Macaca fascicularis: one gene and its partner. The protein of the gene in region 2 purifies or fractionates together with the protein of the main gene of each other region. This does not show direct contact. Links are inferred from orthologs where the notes say so. Each region holds a gene or a part of one and is shown on either strand. Other genes may lie near its edges.

What was found.
Region 1: the proteins of SUPT7L (region 2) and USP22 purify together in Homo sapiens (affinity purification with mass spectrometry; 3 studies listed by BioGRID and IntAct, with this or other methods). This does not show direct contact. The link is inferred for Macaca fascicularis from reciprocal best matches to the Homo sapiens genes SUPT7L and USP22.

Annotation. Positions count from the first base shown.
Region 1 is NC_088390.1:20,414,659-20,418,310, reverse strand, and holds part of USP22 (ubiquitin carboxyl-terminal hydrolase 22), read left to right. Parts: intron 1-698; coding exon 699-825; intron 826-1,712; coding exon 1,713-1,804; intron 1,805-3,652. UniProt on the Homo sapiens protein: Deubiquitinase that plays a role in several cellular processes including transcriptional regulation, cell cycle progression or innate immunity.
Region 2 is NC_088387.1:94,570,369-94,574,531, reverse strand, and holds the start of SUPT7L (STAGA complex 65 subunit gamma), read right to left. Parts: upstream 2,842-4,163; 5' UTR 2,526-2,841; intron 1,484-2,525; 5' UTR 1,395-1,483; coding exon 1,381-1,394; intron 801-1,380; exon of another isoform or gene 596-800; coding exon of another isoform or gene 588-595; coding exon 183-587; intron 1-182. Other genes in the region: SLC4A1AP (kanadaptin), read left to right, coding at 3,114-3,776.

The DNA of each region.
Region 1 (3,652 bases), on a different chromosome or scaffold from region 2:
CTGTGGTGCGATGCCCCGGCCAGGATTCAGACATTTATACAGAAAGTACCCAGCATCTCCATTGCCTCCCTGCCCACCACCCGCTCCGTAACCCCAGTCACCCCGTACTTCTCCATTTCCATACACCTGATAATTCCAGAATGTCATGTCAGCCGAATCATGTAACAGGGAACCCTTTGAGATTGGCTTTTCTTGTGCATCCTAATTCTCTGGGGATGCATCCAGGGTGCAGCTTGGGATCAGTAGTCCTTTCCTTTTTTGCTGCTGACTCATATTCCATGGTACAGTGTTCCACAGTTTCTTTAATTATTCACCCATGGGAAGACGCGAGGTGTTTCCAGTTTTGTGACTCTTACGAGTAACACTCTGGTACACGTTTGTGGACAGTTTTTGTGTGAACGTTAGTTTTCATTTTTCTGGCTTAAATTCAACTGCTGGGCCATGTGGTAGTTAGAAAATTGTTACCATTCCCCTAGGCCTATCCTGGAAATAAAATATTTAAGATAAATGTTCTTTAAAGAGACAGGCAGCGAAGGTGGACAACATTTTCTCTTTTTTTCATTGTTTCATTTTTAGTTGTATGTGTATGTTTTTGGTAGGGAAATGAACCCATTGAAAGAGATAAAATACCTCTTTCCTCCCATTTTTCTGTCTCTTACATCTCCCTTACTGCTTCTGTCTTCTTTAAACGCCTGTAGATTCACCAGACCAGAGCACTTGGGCAGCAGCGCCAAGATCAAATGCAGCGGTTGCCATAGCTACCAGGAGTCCACGAAGCAGCTCACTATGAAGAAACTGCCCATCGTAGCCTGTTTTCATCTCAAAGTAAGTTTTCCAGAAAGCCAACTCTAATGGCAGACTTAGTTTTTAGTCCACAGTACGGCCCTCAGCCTTTTGGTTTGCTGTGCCGTTGCATTTTTCATAACTGCAGCAAGCAGGAAGAACACCTAGGAAGGGTGGATGTGAGTGAATTGTCCTCCTGTCTGTGAATTGTCCTTTTGTCTGTGCTGCGGTAAACAAAATCAGTGGCTTCACAGTGAAAGTAGGATGAGAGTTACTTTTCTTGGGAAGCGGAGTGGTTGTGACTTTTTTTTACTTCTGCCATTCCTCCAGCTACCCCTCCTCTGGTTTTCTGTTTTCTTTTAAGACAAAGGCCCTCAGCATTCAGATCTGGTCCAGGAGTCGTCAAGCTCTTTCTCTGAAGGCCCGGATCGTAAAGATGTCAGGCTCCACAGGCTGCGTGCGATCCTACGATTCTCTGTTGCATGTTCTTTGTTTCATTTTACCACCCTTTAAACATGGAAAGCACCCATTCCTAGCTTGCTGGCTGGAATGGGTGACTCCTGATCTAGGCAAAGGAATGTCTTCTGTCTGGTGAAAGGAACAATTTGCTTGTTTTTGCTGCCACGAGCCATGGATCTTTGTTTTGTTTTCTGTGCTTTGCTGGGTTTGCTGTGAGATTACTTCTTGTACCCTTGGTGTTACCACTGAACAGTCCCATCATTTGAAGACTTGACTTGAACCCTGTACATGAGGACTTGGGTGGATTACCATTATGTTTTTGAATCTGTAATTCTAGCTGTAGCTACAAGGCAATTCAATAAAATACAAAGAGATACACAGACACCTGTCATTGGAAGAAGCCCCTGAAGCTTCCAGTGACATTTCTGGTCTTCTTTCCTCTTCCCTCTGCCCCTTTCCTATTTCTGCAGCGATTTGAACACTCAGCCAAGCTGCGGCGGAAGATCACCACGTATGTGTCCTTCCCCCTGGAGCTGGATATGACCCCTTTCATGGCCTCCAGGTAGGTGGGGGTGTAGGCCCGTTCTGTGTCCGGAGGGGCTGTGATCTTATCAGGACAGGAATGCAGCTCGGATCTCCTATGGTAAGATGACTGTTGGCGGGTGCGGTGGCTCCCGCCTGTAATCCCAGCACTTCAGGAGGCCGAGGAGGGCAGATCACAAGGTCAAGAGATTGAGACCATCATGGCCAACATGGTGAAACCCCGTCTCCACTGAAAATAGAAAAATTAGCTGGATGTGGTGGCAGGCGCCTGTAGTCCCAGCTACTTGGGAGGCCAAGGCAGGAGAAACGCTTAAACCTGGGAGGTGGAGGTTGCAGTGAGCCAAGATCGCGCCACTGTACTCCAGCCTGGTGACAGAATGAGACTCCATCTCAAAAAAAAAAAAAGATGTCTGTTGATATTAATATAAACCCCACCTTCCCAAAATTTATTTATCCTGATCTTAAGATATGGCACATGTTAATGAGTGGTTTTTCATCAGATACTCTGTTTTTGTTTTGAATGTTTCTCTTAACAATTCTCAATCCACTTTCAAACCGGCAAAGTCCTCGAGGTAGGATCACAGCGAGAAGGCAGCACTTCAATTCATGGAACAGATGTTGAAGTTTGCAGCTGTAGCTTGCATTTTCCTTTCCACATCTGCCTACTATGGGGCACTTGGCATTGAGCTGCTTACCAATGCATGAGACAAATAGGAGTTTCCTGTGGCTCTGTGACAAATGACCAAAAACTTGGTGGCTTAAAATTAAATTTCCTCACAGTTCTAGAGGTCGGAAATCTGAAATCAAGGTGTTGTCAGGGCCCCATGGTCCTACAGGGGTCTGGGGGATTCCATTCCTCAGCGCCTCCAGCTGCCAGTGTTTCCACGTGTTCCTTCTGTGGCTGCGCCACTCCCCTCATTTCTGGGTCACGTGGCCAGCTCCCCTGAGTCTGTGTCCAGTTCCCTCTGCTTCTCTGTCATGACAGTGGTCACTGGCTTTAGGGCCCAGGCAGATCATCCAGGAGGATCTTATCTCAACATCTTTACTTCGAGTCTCTGCAAAGACTGGTTTTACAAATGAGGTCCCAGTCTCAGGTTCTGAGGGTCGAGACGTGGGTATTGTTATTTGCAGGGTGTTATTTTTTGGCGGCCACAGTCCCGGCCCCAGCACCGTGGAAAGCATGTTGCCTTTTGGTAGTTACTGGCCTGTCCCACCGCTGTAGCACACAGCTGACCTCCTGAATAAAACAAGACCACCAGAGTCAGAGCTTCATGCCATCAGCCTGACCACGATGGTCACGTACTGAGGGAGGTGACGGTACTGTTCTAAGGTCAGGGTCTCAAAGATCTTAGTGTTTCCTGCCAAACACAGCCGTGGGAAAATGCAGTAAACAATGCTCATGGCTTCCTCTTCCCAGCACCGCCTCTCCCCTGTCTCACTAGGAGAGGTGCTGGTCATGAAACAATGAGCAGCAATCTTTGTCCCTTTTGAGGAGGCACCTGCCTAGGTTGTGAAATGGATTCAGCTTACCCTTTCATGCTAACCCTTTACATGTGGGAGGAAGGGCGCCTTCACCATCTACTTTGTCACAAACCAAACTCAGATTCCTCCAGATCCAGCTCCCATTACCAGCCCTATTCAGGACCCATCTTGGAAGAACCAGGGGCCACACCAGGTGGCCCCAGGACCCAGGTGTGCTCTGAGGCAGAGGCCTCCACAGCTCGAGTGTCAGTGTCCTCACGAAACCTGGGGAGATTTCTACTTGAAGCATAAAGCGCAGCCCGGTGCAGTGTCTGCATGGCCAAGCCTGGATAAGTGTCAGTTTCAGGAGAGGCTTGTATCTCTGGGCCTGATGATTTTAACGATG
Region 2 (4,163 bases):
TGAATTCTGAAGACTGGCATTCAAAACTTAGACATCTCACTAATTACCTGAGAAACCTTGGCCAAGTCAATTACTCTTATCCTCATTTTCCTCGCGTGGAAATGGAAATGCTATTACAAGCTTAACAGGGTTGTTGGGAAGATGACTTGAGAAAAGTAAGATACAGCAAAGCCTTGCCTTACCGATAAAAGTCACTCTCTGGGTCACTGTGCCGGATCTGGAATGGTGCATTGGGATTTTTACAATCTAAAGGCAGGAGGTCATCAGGGAGAGGAGGTGACCCAGGGCACGAGGGAAGAGGTTCACTCTCTTCAGTTTTTACACCTTCTGTCTGCTGCTGATTCTGGGCCTGCGCTGTGGCAATAAGGTTGCGAAGTCGTCGGTTGTGCTGAATCAACTGAATCGTATGGATGGTGAGACTACATGGCTCTGAGGGGATGTCCAGCATAGTGGGGGGCTTCGGCTTGTTGGCTGAGGGTTGGTGCAGGGGTGGGTCATGGACTTCCACCAGACGGAACTCCCGTGGGAGCAAATCAAAGGAACTTCTGTTGGTCTGGCTTGATGATATTGGTATCTCTCCCCAGTATCTCAACATTTTGGAATAAGAAGAGAAGAGGTCTCAGGATAATTGTAGATGATAACCTAAAAGTAATGTGTTTAAATCCTGGCAACTTTAGATTATAGGCTTCTGTAGTGAAAAATACGAGGTCTAGCCAGTTATTTATGTAAACAGCAGGCTATTTGTGACCACTTAGAAAAATGTCAGTGTCAGCAAAACTGTAGGACCAAAGATGTTCTCCCTAAACAAGAGAAATGTAACTGTTAGATGCTGGTTATTGTCATGCTATGACAATTCCTACTACACTGAACCACAGGGTAGAATTTGGGTCATTAGTAGACCAATAGCTACAACAGCATCTGGAGCTCTAGTATCCCTATTTCCATCTCACTCACGAACTCATTACCAGAACTACCATCATGCTCAATCCTGAACAATAAGCAAGGCCTGATAAAGTATCTTGATACATCTGTGCTGGATCAATAGGAGAAAAGCAAGTAGCGTTAAAGATAGTAAGAAGTAGTTCTTATTATGTGTATCTTAGGCATGGTCCTGCTGGAAAAATTTATGAACCACTAATATAAATGGCATTATGCTTTCAACTTTTGCAATATAGAATGTGAGGAATGTGAGAGATTTCTGCTGCCTCCTAATTGGTATCCCTTCCTCCAATCTCTCTTTGTATGTAATCTATTCTCTACACTGCTGCTAGACTTACTCTTTTTAAAACTTAAATCTAATGGCTTCCCATTGCCTACTGGAAAAAGTCAGAATTCCTTGGCTTATGATTCAACAAAATTCACAATCTGGTTTCAACTCACCTTTGCAGATTCATTGTCCATATGTCTCTTCAAGTTCAACAAACATTTATCAAATGCCTGGCATTCTGTGCGGGTCAAAGACTGATAATGTGAGATCCTTGCCCTGAGGTGAGGAAGAGAAACAGAAGCAGAATATTTCAATATGAAAGTACGTGGTAAGTACTGTTCTAGAGGTATATGGACCTGGGGTAGTGGAAGCACAAAGGAGGAACTCCCTGGGTGAAATGACTACCTTTGTTCTAACAACGTTATACTACTCAGTTTCTTGAGAATGCTGTCCATTTCCACAGTTGACACTTCCAGCTGTGAACTCTGCCAGAAATGCTCTGCCAACCCTGCACATCCCTGGCAGACTCATATTCATTTTTAAGTAAAGCATAAGTCCCCACCCTCCGTCATTTCCCCAGTGCATCTCCCTTTCTCTATTCTCACAGTGCTTTGCATGTCTACGTCACAGCATTTATCTTTGGATTTTAATTAGTACTTATCACAGTAGATTTTTTCCTCCCATCTATTTCTTATGGCCATGGTCTTGTTACAGGGCCAGGCACAGAGAAATATCTATCTGGCATTTGTTGAATGTTTACTATATACCAGACTTCACCTTTTTTGTTTGTTTCTTTTTTGAGACAGGGTCTCACTCTGTAGCCCAGGCTGGAGTGCAGTGGTACAATCGTAGTTCACTGCAGCCTCAATCTCCTGGGCCCAAGAAATTCTCCCATCTCAGCCTCTGGAGTAGCTGGGACTACAGCCGTGCGCCAGTATCTTTTTTTTTTTTTTTGGCGAGACAGGGTCTCGCCATGTTGCCCAGAGGGCCCCTCTGGAACTCCTGGGCTCAAGCAACCCTCCCGCCTCAGCCTCCCGAAATGTTGGGATTACAGGCATGAGCCACCGTTCCGGCTGACATTTATTGTTTAATTCAATTCTTCCAACAACCCTATGAAGCTAATAATCTTATCCCCATTTTTCAGAGTGAGGGCTGAGGCCTAGTGTCTTGCCCAATGTCACAAATGGCGAGGTCGAAAATCGAGTCTCCAGAGTCTGCACTCTTAACCACTAAACTATTCTGCCTTAATAATTAATTTCAGAAAAAAATAAATGAATGAACGAAATAAAAAAAAAAAAAAGTCGCCCTCTTCCCTTACTTTACCGAAAGGAGCAGGAAGAACAGGCACTGAGCCCAAGGAATGCCCAAGTCCCTCCAGGGGTTTTCTCGGTCACGGTCCGCCGGCGCAGGCGCCTATCAGAGGGTCCTGAGGTCGCCTGCTGTCCAGAGCAGCCGGAAAAAGGGGAGGTCTGGACCTGAACCGAGACAAGGAGGTACCACACTACTCACTGCTGCCTCACAGAGCGGGCTGGGCGGCTGTCTGGACCCCGAGAGGCCTGAGGCAAGGGTCGCGTCAAGCCCCAAAAGCTGGTTTGTTGATTAGTGAGCTAAGACCGCCGGAAGCGCTTCTTCTCACTCAAGCTATGCAACAGGAAGTCATTACGATCTCGTTGTAACCTCTAAAGATGTCCCCGTTCTGCACAGCATCCCGATAACCGTTTTTTCTCGTATTATGACCTTCTCGCGTTAGCACCAATTTGCAACTCTCTAGGTCGTGAAGGAGCAACTTCACCACCGCCGCCTGCAGACGCCACTGGGAGCTTGGGAGAGTGGGACGTGTACAGGAACGTAAAGACCGAAGGGTGAGGTTTCGAAGGAGCGGATTTCGAGGTTGCACTGATTGAGGATGGCTGACTTTCTCTCTCAGTCAGAGCCGCTGGCATCGCAAGAGCTCAGTGGGGACTTCAAGAAGCCAGCTCTGCTGGTGCCCGCAGCGGCGCGGAGTAAGGCCCCGGCCACCAGTTCTTCAAACCCTGAGGAGGTGCAGAAGGAAGGGCCCACTGCGTTGCAGGACCCCAGTTCTGGGGAGCCCGACGTCCCTCCTCCTCAGCCGGACTGCGGGGATTTTAGGAGTCTACAGGAGGAGCAGTCGCGCCCCCCGACAGCGGTTTCTTCCTCTGGCGGTCCAGCCCGGGCTCCCCCCTACCAGGAGCCTCCATGGGGTGGCCCTGCCACAGCCCCCTACAGCTTAGAGATCCTGAAGGGCGGCGCTATCCTTGGCACCCGTAGCTTGAAAGGGACGAGTTACTGCCTTTTCGGGAGGCTGTCTGGCTGCGACGTGTGCTTGGAGCACCCTTCGGTGTCTCGGTACCACGCAGTACTGCAGCACAGGGCGTCCGGCCCTGACGGAGAATGCGACAGCAACGGGCCGGGCTTCTACCTCTACGATCTGGGAAGCACCCATGGCACTTTTCTCAACAAAACTCGCATCCCACCTCGCACCTACTGTCGAGTCCACGTTGGACATGTTGTTCGCTTCGGAGGCAGCACCCGGCTCTTTATCCTGCAGGTAGGTAGAAAAACCTAGAATTGAAATCTCGGGCTCATTGGGCTGCGTTCTTGTGCTTCTTAAGCTTTTGATGAGGAAGAAGAATCTCCCATTCAGCGATTACAAAAGTGAAGGAATCAAGTCTGGCCTATCATCTCCAGAGTGCTGTACACATTGCCGTATTTATGAAAGTCATGTTCACAATCCCGAACTCTAAAATAGTTTTTTTTGTTTGTTTGATTTTTGGCCAGGTGCGGTGGCACGCGCCTGTAATCCCAACACTTTGGGAGGCCCAGGCGGGAGGATCGCTTTACCCCAGGAGTTTGAGAGGAGGCTGGGCAACATGGCAAGACCCTGTCTCTGAAAAAAAAAAAAAAAAAAATTAATTAGCCAGGCATCATGGTCCCA